3 linked regions of the Danio rerio genome follow. The protein of the gene in region 3 interacts with the protein of the main gene of each other region in a biochemical or structural test. Links are inferred from orthologs where the notes say so. Each region holds a gene or a part of one and is shown on either strand. Other genes may lie near its edges.

Evidence for each region.
Region 1: the proteins of bcar1 (region 3) and crk form a complex in vitro, tested with the Homo sapiens proteins (2 studies listed by BioGRID, with this or other methods). The link is inferred for Danio rerio from reciprocal best matches to the Homo sapiens genes BCAR1 and CRK.
Region 2: the proteins of bcar1 (region 3) and crkl interact in a test that uses a peptide from one of them, tested with the Homo sapiens proteins (2 studies listed by BioGRID, with this or other methods). The link is inferred for Danio rerio from reciprocal best matches to the Homo sapiens genes BCAR1 and CRKL.

Annotation. Positions count from the first base shown.
Region 1 is NC_133190.1:27,216,210-27,221,441, reverse strand, and holds the start of crk (adapter molecule crk), read right to left. Parts: upstream 3,202-5,232; 5' UTR 2,899-3,201; coding exon 2,679-2,898; intron 1,582-2,678; coding exon 1,004-1,581; intron 1-1,003. UniProt on the Homo sapiens protein: Involved in cell branching and adhesion mediated by BCAR1-CRK-RAPGEF1 signaling and activation of RAP1.
Region 2 is NC_133196.1:20,315,007-20,320,458, reverse strand, and holds the start of crkl (crk-like protein), read right to left. Parts: upstream 3,202-5,452; 5' UTR 2,917-3,201; coding exon 2,606-2,916; intron 402-2,605; coding exon 1-401. UniProt on the Homo sapiens protein: May mediate the transduction of intracellular signals.
Region 3 is NC_133193.1:24,070,324-24,075,115, reverse strand, and holds part of bcar1 (breast cancer anti-estrogen resistance protein 1), read right to left. Parts: intron 4,034-4,792; coding exon 2,825-4,033; intron 2,062-2,824; coding exon 1,975-2,061; intron 1-1,974. UniProt on the Homo sapiens protein: Docking protein which plays a central coordinating role for tyrosine kinase-based signaling related to cell adhesion. Implicated in induction of cell migration and cell branching. Involved in the BCAR3-mediated inhibition of TGFB signaling.

The DNA.
Region 1 (5,232 bases), on a different chromosome or scaffold from region 3:
TTATTTCGTACGGGAAATGCATGCTAACTAACGACAGTACAAAACCGTACTGCTGCTTCAGAATATTTCAGACATTTGGACACATATTGGATAAGTGGAGGAAAGCCACTGCACATACAACAACTGGATCTTCTGTAGTTAAATGAATTTACTAAAAAGCTGCGCAACATTTTCTTACTAAAATACACATTTTTATGTGGGAACGTAACTAATTTGCTGATATGCTGCAACGGCTCCTTTAAATACGGGGTTAATGTATCGATTTTTGACGCTCTCGCCGCTGGAACTGTGAAAGCCAGAGAGAACTCTGATGCTCTTGCGCCTTTGGTGTGAACACAAAGTTATTGAACAGAAATAGCCACATTATCTCAAAGACAAATTGGAAGTTAAAACATGTTAAATGTGGTATCTTTATTTGATTTTAGATGTAGCTGCATTTACCAAACAGATCATGAACTATGAGTAACTAGTAAATGGTGCTCCATTTGAAAGCTGGAGATATACTACTGACCACAGAGCTGGCTTTTACTCACAAAACGACGTGCATGAACATTGTGTTTAAATAATTGTGCAGCTCCAGTTTATATGAGCTTATAATCTTTTAAATAAGCATTTTTTTTCTTTCAAAAACTTAACACTTTGCTTCAGAAAATATTAAATAACCCACTGAGCAGTATGAATGACTTATAACACATTAATGTGCTTTTTTGAAGCAAACATTGTGTACATTTACTTGCAATTCAAAGCTAAGTCACATTAGTGTTTGTCAGGAATAGGACATATAGTAGTCCACATTTAAAGTAGATCAAATAAAGTTCTGACAATCATGGCAAGAATGGATGTTGTTAAATAGGACTATTTTAGTACAACTTAAGATGGAAGGTTTTGATCCACTTCAAATGCTGACTACTGGATACATCTAGAATAACTTGAAGGTTCATAAATGATGCAATATTTTCATTTTTATATTTATTAATATCTCAGAAAAGTTTACATTTGTTACCTCCAAAGCAAGAGCTGTCTTATCATAGGCATTGGGGACTCTCTTCTGAATCGCCCTGGCATAAACTGGGCCATTCTGTAGATTGGGTAAGGATGTGGGCTGGGCGTATTGGCCCGGTTCACCAAGCAGAGGTGGAGACTGAGTGCTGTGGCCGTCAGAGTTGCCGTGAGCACCGGACCCACTGACTGATACGCCAGGTGCACCTGATGTCGGTGAGGCAGGTCGGTACTTCTCCACATAGGGCACAGGGATCATGCCAACACGGCCTTCTGAATTCTGAGCATTCCACCATTGCTCCTCTGGCTTCTCCAGCACTCGAAGAACATCACCCTTTCGAAATGGAAGGTCCTCGTCGTCGTTGCCGGGAAAGTCGAAGAGAGCTCTGACGTACTCCTCTTCTAGCCTCGGAGGAGCTCCTCCTGTCCCCGCATTGACGCTGATGAAAGACGAGTGCTTGGATTTGCTAATGGGCTCAATGAGAGTGGTGGTGTCCAGGTAGTGGATTTTGTAGAACTCCAACAGGGCAGGTAAGGCATCAAATTCCTGATCTCCAATCCGGAACCGAGGAGGAGCAAGCCCTGCGGGATGACATTATGAGATGATGGATGGATAATCAAGATCTGCTTAAATTTAAAGGGGTAGCTCAGCAAAAAATTCAATTTTTTCACAATTACTCATCATAATGTTAACACGAAAAAAAGTTACTGAACATAGGAATTTGGTAGGCATTTTATTTCTAATATGGAGGTGTAAATGGCTACTTAATTACAACATTCTTCAAAATATCTTCTTTTGTGTTCAACAGAAAAGAGAAACTAATATAGGTTTAGAACTTTTATCGGGGTGTACATTTAAACTGAACTCTCTCTAATCCATGAAAATCTGATAAGTGTTGCAAAAACTACATAGTATAACAATGTAACATTTTATGGGTTCAACCTATGGGAAAAGCAGCAAAAAAGATTGGAAATTAAATATTGCTGATCATTTCTGCAAACAAAAAAAGTGAGTTTATGTTATAAGTGATTGACATGACCTATAATAATGCGTGTAATTCAAATGAATGACAGACACATAACTAATAAGATTGTATTTGTTATATAAAAAGTTGATAAGGTGAGACATGTATGTCGGAGTAAGAATGTAATGAAGCAGCGGTTTTAAAATAAGGGTGAAACTGAAATAAACGAGCATTTAGTCAAGATAAATATGCACAAATTAATATAAACAAACAAATAAACAAACCAAGAACACAAAATTATAAGACACGATTCAAACGAAGCAAAATGTAAGTAGATAAAATAAAGATACTTCAAAGAATCTGCTAACGTGTGAACAATTGAACAACTATGTTAAATAATGACACATATTGCAACTAAACGTTTCCTATATTATATTATAAAACGAATTTGTATACAATTTTCACATAACAAATCTGGCATCATACACGAAAGCATACAAATCATTTTACACCCGAGAATGATATTTGGGGCCCGTAGTGTACAAGACCGAACCCCTGGTTACACAGCACCCCAGAATGACGCGAGATTTTAGACTGAATATGCACAACTATTCGTAGTATAGAAGTTTCATCGAGCTGCTAAGCGCTTTGCTAAAGCAGTATTTATCCGTCCTGTCGTTAATAGTATTTAAATACATTTGTTCAAACGCTTACCTGGTCCTGACTGGCGATTGCTGCTGATGCTGTTTATTATGTAATGAGAGACTTTGGAGTTCTCCGACACAGACAGCACGTAGTCCCCGGGAATAGTGATCGAGTCCCGCACCAGGAACACTCCATGCCTCTGCCCTTGGAGCAGCGAAACCGCCTCTTGCCGGCTTAATCTCCCCCAATACCAGCTCCCTCGGTCCTCCGAATCAAAATTTCCGGCCATGACTAGCGCTAGAAAAAAGCCCAGGCTTCACAGGCCTTCCCTTCGCCTCTCCTTATCCGCAAGCAGCGTTCAACTCATGCAAAAACTTTACCGCGTTCCGTTGTTGAACACGTTTCGAATACGCGCAGCATTCGCACACTTTTCAACGCTTTTTGGCCCAATCGATTAACAAAACAATTGACGTCGGTATTCCAACGTGCATGGGACGCAAAAACCGCGGCTATTCACCCAGAACTTCTGATAATTGTCCAGTGTAAACCAAAACGTACATTGGAAGTTGTCACAAGGAAGTTCAAATATTTCAAATGGCGGACAAGGGAAACAATTTTTGACCTTATTTCCCGGAAGTGATGCAATAGCCGCCGACGCGGATGGTGTCTGTTGGTGGTCATATTGGTGCGGTCAATATTGAAAGTAAGGCCTTATCTTGTATCATTATGGAGTTTCAATCTTTTTTTAACACCAACCGTTTTTTTTATTTTTAATTTATGTAATCGTATTTCGGAATTGTTCATATGAACACAATTATAACTTCTGAATTTACATTAGTTATACTGATCAATTTGCATCGCATTAATCTTTGTATTAACCCAAATTCCGCTAAACATAACAGTTTTGTTAAATTCTAGTGAGAGGTTCAAGTGGCTGGTCCAAACAGGTTGTTAACCAGTCCAAGCGGGCTGACCCCGAAATTACCTGAGCAAACAAACATAGTGTAAGTGGTCTAACAGTTAGTCTACTAAATTTAACAAATTAGACATCCCTTTAAAACATAAGTTAAATATGATTTTCATCAACCATATTCGCTAATTTATTTAAAGGTCGAAAGTGCTGTAAATTATTACAAAAAAAAAAAAAAACGGAAGTGCGTAAACACTGTCCTTTACAAGCGAGTCCACAAAATTAGCAACCACTAGATGTCGACATCGATTACTAATAGTTTGTAGTCTTTCTACCAGTCTCACCCAGTTACAATTCAGCTCTCAAATGGTCTAATCAAACATATTGACGACCAACATTATTCGTCGCGTAACGCATAAATGAAGTGTATATTTGTTAAAGGTTTATTGGTTTTGATACCAACAACAGTCAAATACATTTTTATTTGTTTACAAATAATCATACACATATTGCTGTTCCGGTTTGTCATTCCTTGCATTTCCCTTGGTTCATTAATCATTGTGGGAGTACAGAAATACTGACCAAGTCATTGTTCACAGCTCTTCAGTGCACTTTTATCGATATATATTCCGTAATGGCACAACTTGACTAAAAGATATGGCTTTGAAACACAGCAGGAGATTTTGAGGCTACCTGTTGACCATGAAATGACATGATAAATTGAAACATATTGGTCACCTTTACAAAGGCTACTAAACCATTCATGTAGGCTAATAAACCGTAATTTGAAGATGGAGCTTAGAAAAACACTGATCATATAAGCCATAGTTCTCAAACTGGAATCCTGGATGGCCACCACTCTGCATAGTTTTGCTCCAACCCTAATCAAACACAGCTGATTCAACCAATCAAGGTGTTCAAGACTACCAGTGACTATGAAGCAGGTGTGAGTTGGAGGTGGATAAAGCTAAACTATGCAGAGCTGTGGCCCTCCAGAATTGAGTTTGAGACTACTGCTATAAGCTATTATGATGATGTTAACGCACTATAGTATTTTCACTTAAGTGAATTCAAAATAATGGGTAATTAATTAAGACAAATCTAATTTTAAAATGTCTAATTTTCATGAAGACAAATCTAATCAATACACTGTAATTTACAGGCATATTTGAACTATTTTGAATTGCGTATATGAATAATGTGAAATTTTAAGTAGGCACTAAATATAGGTATATACTAAACACTTTATCATTTTATTATCAGTGGATAAATAGAAATGAAATCTTAATATCATTTAGAGGTTAAAGGATCTATTCTAACAAACAGAGAAATCTCACATCTCTTTAAAATCCATGTCCAGCAGCAACAACAGAATATCAGTATTACAAACCAATGCGTAGCCAAACAACAATTCCATGCAGTGAGTCTTTTCTCTTTGGCTTCAGTCCTGCTGCGTTTCCCAACAATCATGTTGTTCTTGGGCCAACACTGAAAAAAGATTTTGGTTTTCCACTGTATAAATTAGGGGCACTTAATACAAGGATCTACGTCCCATCCACCTGATACTTGGGACATGCATATTCACTGGACTGAATAAAATTGAAGTTGTTTTCCAATGCTAGAGAGAATGTGATGCTTGTGCCTGTCAGATGCATAGATGTACACACCGATTCACAGCTCCATTCTGCTTGAATCCAACATGTTAAAGTGCCC
Region 2 (5,452 bases), on a different chromosome or scaffold from region 3:
CGTTCTGCACAGAAGGTAGCGGGTTGATGACAGCGCCGGGTGTACCAGGAGGAATGGGAGATGGAGTCTGAGGCTGGGCATAGGCGTGTGATGGCTCAGGGATGCCATAGCTATTGGAATTCCGTGAACCATGGATGGACTGACCAGGATGAGGCGAAGATCTCACAAGCTTTTCTACATAGGGAACAGGAATCATGCCTGTTCGGCCTTCTTTGTTCTTGGCACTCCACCACTGCTCCTCAGGCTTGTCCATAATTATTAGGATTTCACCCTTCTTGAAAGGAAGGTCTTCAGCATCGCTGCCAGTGAAGTCATAAAGAGTCCGCACATACTCCTGGTTCTCATCACCCAGTCCTCCAGATGGCTGAATAGGACCACTGGGCAGAGCAGTACTGGGGTACCTGTAGAACAACAATCAAATCATATTTAGGATCGACTTATAAACTAGAAAAGCAGCATTTAAGAGCCCATCTAAAAGCAAACACTTTAATCAGCTTCTCGCTAGTGGAGGCCTTTTGTAATATTTAATCATCTACTCGATGTGCACTTTCACATGCAGAGTAACTTCCTGTTATCTTAAAGGGAAATAACTTAATTTTTCTTTACTGCACATCTCAAAAAGAACATTTTATAAAGAACCAGAACAAAATTGAGGGGAACTACAGATGTTTAATTCATTACTCTCATTGTAAGAGTAATACTAAACAGCCACCAAACCTATGGCAAGCAGTTTTAACAGTTATAGCTTACACTTAGTGAATCAATTTATGCTAATGATTAATTCTGGGCCGATAAACTGTATTATATCGAGTCGCGAAAATTTATATCAATGATAAGCTCTGAAATTTTTTACTTGATATTGACCTAATTACACAGCAGAAATGTGCAACAATGGGTATCTAAAAGTGTGTTGGTATTGGAGATGCACCCAATGTTCGGCCACCAAAAATTTATCGGCCAAACATATATTATGCCATTTAATGGTCCCTCTAATTTTTGTGACTTCAGTCATTGTTGGCATACACTTTTACATCTGGAAGCATTAACAACTTGCATCGAAATATGAGCAATTTCAGCATTATAGATATAACATTTACAAAAACTCAAAACATAAATTCACAGAAAAAAGTATATTTTAACAATCAAAAACAACTAACCACCAAGTTAAGGGATCTAAAAAATATCAATCTGTAAACATTTTTCATACTTTAAATGAGGAAAATAAACATGCGTTATGGATATGACCAAAAAAGTCTGCAAGTTACAGTATACAGCATACTTTGAAGAAATTATGTGAATTAAAACAGCAAAACTCAAATGAAATAATGCTAATTAAAAGGATGAGAGTTGGCTCTCTATAGAACAAAAAAAATCTTGATTTTATTTTACATTTTTGTATTTATTGAAAAAAAAAGTTAAGTTAGTTATGGATGTGACGTCTCTCTGCTATGGATGTGACGGATGTAAAATTGCTACTTGTGCGACTTTGATAAATTAAATATAATTGATTTTTCAGTCCAGTAAAATACAAGCCTACACACACACACACACACACACACACACACACACACACACACACACACAAAAAAAGAATTTAGCTATTTTGGTAAAAAACATAAAAAAAATTCATAGCAAGGTTGACATTTGCATGGAATTGCTCATATTGTCAATATGGAAAATAATTATTGAGATTGCATTTTTGCCAACTAATGATACTTTTTGTCTAGCAAGTAAGCCAAAACTAATCAATACTTTTACATTACTATCAACTTATAAAGACTTGCAGATGACGTCCATTTTTGACAGATGTACAAAGTTTCCAAATGATTCATTCATTACAATCATAAGTTGTAATATTTAGCAAAATAATATTTAATCATAACTAAGCCGAATCTCTGTCAAATTATCTCTGATAATACGTTTTAATTACAACATCAAAATATAAAAAATTCTGCTTTATAATTGAATTGGCTATACAAAAAAACATGATTTTAATGGACTAGTAGAGTCAAATTTTTAGAGGACAGTCACTAAGAAAATTATGCTAGTAACAAACTGCTGTCTTTCCAGTTTTACTAGTTGTAACTAGCAATATTTATCTTGTAACAACTTTTTTTTACTTGCCACTTTGTGAAAAAAAAATTATTATGATAGCTCAAAAATAACCTTACTAGCAGACCACAGTAGTCAGACCACAATAAAACCATGCAATGTGTTACTTATTAGCTAAAATATAAATGCCAGTGTCAAATTAAAAGTAAAACTGAAAGCATTTCCAGAAACATCCAAAAAGCTTCAACTTGCAAAGATTTGAAATTTAGTTTCCGTTGCAATTACAGGTTACTTACACAATACACTACTGGGTATTGGAGTATTGTTGCAACAGAAAACGTACAAAATAGATGAGTAATAACTGGTAACTAATGCAACTTAAAAATATAGTCTAGCAAGTAACGATGACAAAAATGAGTCAATAAAAACAGATCCTGGTTACTTCGAATGTTTAAACGGCTTGCCACAGAAGAGAAGGGGAGGGAAAAGAACATTATTGAGAAGAGGGGTGGATGATGTGACGATGTCAAAAGTAAATGAAAAAAACTCTTACCTTGGTGCTGGTTCTATCAGGGTGGTCGTATCCAAATAATGTATTTTATAGAACTCCAAAAGGCCGGGTAGATTATCAAACTCTTGATCGCCTATCTTGAATCTCTTGCTTGGCAAAGAGTTGATGATATAGTGCGAAACTTTGGAGTTTTCGGACACTGAAAGTACATAATCACCAGGACAAGTGGACGAATCTCGCACTAAAAACATCCCGTGTCTCTGTCCCTGTAGCCTATTCTGCGCCTCCTGTCTCGAAACCGGCCCGAAATACCAGCTGGCTCGGTCTGAGGAGTCGAACCGTGCAGACGACATGTTTATTCGAAATACACTTGTAACTGACGAACACGGGTGAAAAAAAGCAAAACGAGCAATAAATTAAAACAACAAATGCTTATTCTTACAAGCGACCTAGCACTTCTAGACCCGTCAGTCCTACTGAACCGCAACCTGACGTTTGACCAGACAGGCTGCGACTAGCGTCAACCAACTTTGATGCATTGCTAAATTTTCCACCAACACAAGATTCGCGGCGGTTTTAGGAGAGGTGTAAATAACCCCAAAAGTTCAGAGCGAGCTCAAATACACGTATTTGGAATCAAAGTTCCCCTTTCCGCTCTCTCTTCCGTGAAAGTAGCTGCAGCTTATGAGACAATATAACGCGTTAGCTGAGCTAGCCGTCTTCAGTCACCGTCCGCTCAAGAGGAGCCAAACAGCGCCATAATATGTTACTAAATCGCTCAGCATGACAATTCAAGCCGACGTACGTCAGTTGCTTCCAAAAACGAGTTCTTCTTTGCGTTCTGCCCCAAAGCACGAAAGAGTTGTGTCTCTAATTTTGACTCCAAGCAGACTTAGAGAGCTGTAACAAAAATGGCGGCCCGCAACACGTCTTCACAAACAACGAATTGTGAAAAATCTAGAAACATAAAGTTTCCCGCCTTGCACGGCGCTCTTTTTTCTGACGCGCGCGTCTTTCACGCTACAGTACGAGCGAGAAGACCTTTCTTAAAAATTCTGTTTTCTATGTCCTCCTTTCCTTCTCGGGATTGGTGTAAAGGCTGCTTCAGCTCCCCACACCGTCCGAGAAATGGCGTCTGGAGGGCGGATCTGCGCGCGCTCACGGTCTGTCTGATCGCCCGTCACGAACGCCCCGAGCGCCTGTTACTTAAAAGGAAGAATGAAATGAGTGGCGTTCAGAGGGGCTGCATTTCAAACTCTCTGAACCGCGATAATGAGACACACAGGGCACTGACAGAGCCTAGCGTGAGTAAAAGCTTTAAAGTGCTGTATTTTTGCTTACATTTTGGAAGGCAAGCTTGGATCACATCCTATCTGGATACCTGTTGTTTACACGGGGAGTTATATATATTAGCTTCACATGTTCAACTTTTTGATAAATTTATGATATGTTGGTGCCTAATGAATTTAAACATTTATCGGTGGAAGAAACTGAAGAAAATGTGCACAAGCCGAATTTACTTTTCTAAATCAGTAAAACATTAAAGTTAAATTGCATTTTTTTTGTGTAAATTCAGTTAATAATTGAGGGTATTCATTCTACATCTCATTTTACTCATTCTAGCTACACCAGAATGTATTTAGTTGCAGTATAACCTATAGACCTTTTTAAATATAGAATTAAAAAAAGACCACCAACAACTATAATGGCAAAGTATTAGGACAACAGCAGCCTGCGTTTAAACATTGTTTGTATAAGAAATCCTTTGTACCCATTTCAGTGGGTTTATTTAACAAGAGTTTATCTTAATTAGCATTGTAATATTAAAACTACTGTATTTTGCATTATTTTTATTGTTTGTTTTATGGAATGTCTGCAGCAATATGGTGATGACCATAACAAATTTCCTGTCAAGGACAATAAAGTTAACTTTACTACCACTTATGTATATGAATTATCTTGGTGGGATTGTGCCTTTACTTGAGTAATTTACAGTCCTGAATATGTTAACATTGATAATTGCATTCCTATACAGATAATGATTATTAGAGGTGAAAAACATTCAGGATACATATGCAGAGACATAATAATACAGAACCTTAAATACAAAAATAAAACAGCAACTTTATGTAAGTCGTCTTACAAGCATTATGTCCAATACATTACATTTTCTTTAATAAAGAAGAGCTCTTACATGCAACCAGGAGCAGACTTAACCAAAAAGTGAGGTAAGCAACCGCTTAGGACCTCGAGAAAATAGGAGGCCCCGACCAATGCCAAGAAGCCTTTATTAATCATCCTAGCTATTTTCACATTTTTCTATAATATGTTGTAAAATCTGTCTGTATCCATTAAGATTTTAATATTATTACTTATTTTCTAAACCAGGGGCCCCAATGAATAGTGGAATTTTTCTCCAGTTCTGCACATGCAAATATTAAAATCTAATCACAAATCAAAACTAATTAACTAGTTTGTGAACTTGCTTTTTATTTGCGAATACATTCATTCATTTTCTTGTCGGCTTAGTCCCTTTATTAATCCGGGGTCACAACAGTGGAATGAACCGCCAACTTATCCAGCAAGTTTTTACGCAGCGGATGCCCTTCCAGCCACAACCTATCTCTGGGAAACATCCATACACATTCACACACACACTCATACACTACGGACAATTTAGCTTACCCAATTCACCTATACTGCATGTCTTTGAACTGTGAGGGAAACCGGAGCACTCAGAGGAACCCACGCGAAGGCAGGGAGAACAAGCAAGATTCGAATCAGCGACCCAGTGACCTTCTTGCTGTGAGGTGACAGCACTACCTACTGCACCACTGCCTCGCTATTTCCGAATATATTGTATTTAATTTTAAATTAAGAAGGTTTCAC
Region 3 (4,792 bases):
ATTTTTTTTTGAAAAGTTTACAATTTGACATGCAAACCACTGCAGAAATGTTCTAATCAACAGGCCCATGTCATATACAGTACAGATACTTAATAAATAACCTACTATAAATTAAAAGCATTATTGTATGCTGTGTTTTTTGCTTTCACAAGCTTTGGAGATGTAGCCTCAATTCCACTTTTAAATAATAGGTCACCTATAGCTTTCGTCATAAGCAACGGCTGTGTTCAAAATGACACCAATGTTTTCAAAATGCACTGCGAAGGGTGGTCAGTTGTAAACATGAATATCGCTAAAACTGAACTGTAAAAATACAATGAAAGTAAATAACACCTAAGAGTGATGACTTTAATACTTTTTTTATAATTAGAAGTTTAAATGTTCGAATGTTCTAAATGAATAGAGTATAGGGGGATAACTGGGAATAGAACAAAGCCTATTCTGGAGAATTAGAAGAGCTGTAGCTGCTTCTAACTACAGCTCCAGAGGTGTAGTTGCAAGTATACAAGTTTGCGACGCAGTTTGCGAAGGTTCGTTGGAACGATGGATTTGGGAAATGGCAAATCAACAAACTGTGTATAACGACACAACTTGCGACCTTAGTTGGCTAACGATGGTTTTTAGAAACACCCCCAGGATGGTAAAGTCACCAACCAAATAGGCTAAAGACAACGAGAGGAGTTATTTCTGAAGCAGGATTCCTCGTGACCATACCTCGAGAAGTACATGTTAAGATGCAATAATGTTAATTCTGATGCTGTGCTTAAAAATACTTCAGTAATATTAAGTACTATAATGTTTTTGAACTAAACAGTGAAGTACTCAAATAAAATTTTTGTGGTAGTTTTTATTTAACTTTTTATTTTTTAATTATTGTGGTACTTTTTTATTAAACATATAATATAACATTATGTATATATGTTTTTGCAATTCATTAATAAATAGTTATATATATATATATATATATATATATATATATATATATATATATATATATATATATATATATATATATATATATATATAAAAAAATATAAATACAATATAATGCATATTCCTAAATATTTCCCTTTACTATAAATAATGTAGTATTATAAATGTGTAACACCTAGTTTTATTGGATTTTTTTGTTTTTGGTCTAATACTTTGTTTCTGTTTGGTACATAATATAGTTTGCAGTAAATAACTGAATTAAACAATTATGCCTCATGTTTCATTGATAGTTTTATTAATCACTGAGGTATGACTGACTTAGATTTAAGTTGCTTCGATTTAAAAATTAAAATTGCAAAAATAGCTTAGATGTAGTTAATCTACTTTTGCCAAGTAGCTTTTAGCTTAGTTTGTGCCATTTCCCAGGCGGTAGCTTTTCGTGTAGTTAAGCTACATTTTAGGGAGAGTGGCTAATAGCTTAGGTCACTACAATTTTCAAGCAGCTTGCCCAACGCTGTAAATAAATTACATGTATACATACAAAAAAAGTATATTTAAATTCAAACAAAACAGTGTAAAAAATCCTGGTTGCCTTAAATTTTTAAGCTGAATCAAATGAGCCTTTTGAGTCCATTGAACTATTATGTTAAACTGACTTAAAACAGCTTTTTAACTTTTAAACTTTTTAATAAGTTTAATATTTTACAATAACCTAAAACATGCTGTCAGGACTAATTGATCATATAAATTTTACAGTGTAGTAATAATAAGTCAAAGCTTAGCAAAATTAGCATAAGGTTTTTAAAAATTAGTATAATGTAAAATTTAAGTGGCTTAACAAGTGAGCATCATTAAATATGTTATTTTTTCATTAAACTCTAAATCAGCTGTATTTATACCCCTTGGCATATTTATGGGCATTTACGTTTCAATTAATCATGTTCTAATATAGTTTAAGTGATTAAAAATGGAATGTCCTAACGTTATGAAAAATGATGTTGTGTATTATTATAACATAAAAGGTGTTATAGTCTCGCATACCTGTTGCTGTTCAAGCTGAGTCTTATTTTGTTTGATGCTCCCTTTTTCCAACAGCTGTCTTTGGTTCTTCTCAAACTCTTCTTTACCCTAAAATAGAAAAAAAAAATTACTTTATGAATGAATGGATACTGGGTCGACTAATTGTAAAGCTTTTTAAATCCAAAAAGGTAGGCCACAATTTGTTTTCTATCAAACGAGCAAAGGTTTTTGTTAATTATCTGTGCACTGATTCATATTAAAAAGATAAACCTTCACTATTAGTCACAACTGGAATGTTTCCACCATATTTTTCACAGTGTGTGCTGAAACGCTTCTTTTCACTCCACAGGGGGGCAGCATAACATTACAGTGAAACTCAACACAGCCATTTTTGGCTGTTGAAAAGATTACAGAAGTCAGACTCTTAATTAAACATACCTCCTCTGATTTTTAACCCAAGTGGAGGTTTCAAATGAAACAAAAATCAATAAAAAATAAATGTTTTAGGTGATGAAGTAATCTGCCTTGAGCATATAAAATAAATAAGTTTTTTTTTTTTTTTTAAAGGAAAATATCAGTTACACAGAAAGCCTGAAAGACTAAAAAATGCCCCTATGACTAAACTGTGGTCATTTATCTGCACAGTTTCCGTGGAAGTTTTGACACAATGACAGGCAACAGCTGGTGCTAAAGGAAGATGTATGTGGGCTTTAAGGAAAAGCAGGTCTGCACATGCAATCAAGGTGATTGATTAAAGGCCTGAGGCTTGACACAGTGGGGATTACAGGCAGAGCCCATATAAGGATGGCATGCAGACCAATGAGAACATACAACTAGAAAACCAATCTGAAGATTTTTGTATTTAGCATACCTGTAAATGGACATAGTCGTAGTCCTCCATCCAACCCTCCTCTGTTGTCTCATACGGCCTATCTGGAGCCTCCTCCTCGGCTGAGAATTTGGGAGGGGAGGGTAATGGACGGGACTGGATGTTGGCCCTTTCTGGTGTCCCTGACTGATAGGCTGAGATGTTGTTATTATTGGTCAGCGAGTCACCGGTATGAGGAACAGGTGGCAAAGGAAGCTGCTGCTGCTTGTTTGTCCGTTTGAAGAGCAAAGAGGCATTGCCATGGAGAAACGATGCTAACTGCTTGGTGTCATCAGGTACACCACGTGCACACATGATCAGCCGGTCCAGGTCATCCCCACCTGTGCCTGGCTGAGATGTCATCAGGGCTGCAGGGGACCAGCCCAAAGTGTCCAGTGCCTGACTGTACCTCACCAGACCTTGGAAGGCCTCCTCCATCTTCTGCACCTGCTTGCCAAGCTTGGTCTGCAGTGTGCGGTCGGTGGCCTGGGTGGCATTGGCTACAGCACCTCTAGCGAATTCCAGCAGGTCCCTGACTGCCACACGGATGCGGTCCACGGCCTGTCGGATGGCAGGGAGGTTGGACTCCATCTGAGTGGAGCTGCGCCAGTTTCCACTGATGAACGACATGAGGAGAGAAACGGAGCTCTCCACAGCCTGTTGATGACGGGACAGACGCTCCATAGCCTGGTCCAGATCCAGGAGCAGCAAGCGACCTGGCCCAGAAGATTCCCGCACTGGCACCATGTCTAAAGAGGACGTGGAGAGATTACTGCGAGTGCTTCCAGTGCTGGACGCTGACAGCCGTTTGAAGCTGACCGTGAGCTCCTCGGTGGCCGCTGCATCACGGACCACCTGTGGAGGCACATCATACACGTAATCGCCTGAATCTTCGCCTGCTGGGCGCTCACGAGGGAAGTCGTACACATCTGTGGGGTGGTGGTCCTGTGGGCCACCTTTTCGCAGGCTGGCAGGGATGTCGTAGATCTCCTGGCCCTCAGGCTGTCGTTTTCCTATTAGCTGAGGAGGAGGAACATCATAGACATCCTCTGGTATGGGAGGCTCGGGACCGCCAGGGATCTGAGACAGATAGGCTTGGTTCTGATTCTCCAGGCTCTTCATCTTGGCAAAATGAGGAGGAACGTCGTACGTTTCCTCCCTGATTGGACCATCTGGAACGTCTTTGCTGACAGATGGAGGAATGTCATATACCTGTAAAAAGAAATAATGTGTTTACCAAAACAAGCCTCCTATAATCATAACTGAAGTCATTAGTGATCTGATTGTTACATTTTTGGTTCATATAAGTTGAGTGTAAGCCATTTTAAAGGTTTCAAGGGAATTTAGGTGTTACACCCTTATAATATAAAAACATATATAAATGAACAAACGGATTGCATTTGAGATTTGCCAAAGAGTTGATCTTTAAAACTTCAATTATGCAACAGTTAAATATTATTTCAAGCATTAGATGTTAGCAAGCATTAATTAATGTAAAAATACAGTGGTCCCTCGCTATGATGCGGTTCACATTTTCGCAGCCTTGTAGTTTCACTGATGTTTTCAGTGTGTTCTGCGTCCTGATTGGTGCATTGTGTTCTGCACCCTATGACAGATGTATTTAGACCATTGTCAATCAATCTTCTCCATGCCGTGTCTCCTGTACAGTAAAGAATGCGTTCAGCTTGCCAAATGTACATAAATCTTTGATCACTAGCAGTGTGACTCTTAAGTGCTGTACTGTATGTTTGGAGTATTTCTCCCCAACAAACCCCACAAATGTTGACGAAACATTCAGCACCATCAAAGGCACTCAAAAGGAAGATGCTAACCATCGAACTAAAAGTTGGACTTCTGGACATGCTAAAACAAGGATAGAAGTTATGCGGCTGTAAGGCGCCATTACGGAATAAATGAAGTAACATAAAGAAGGAAAAAAGTAACATATGGACGACAGCAGAAATAAAGTTC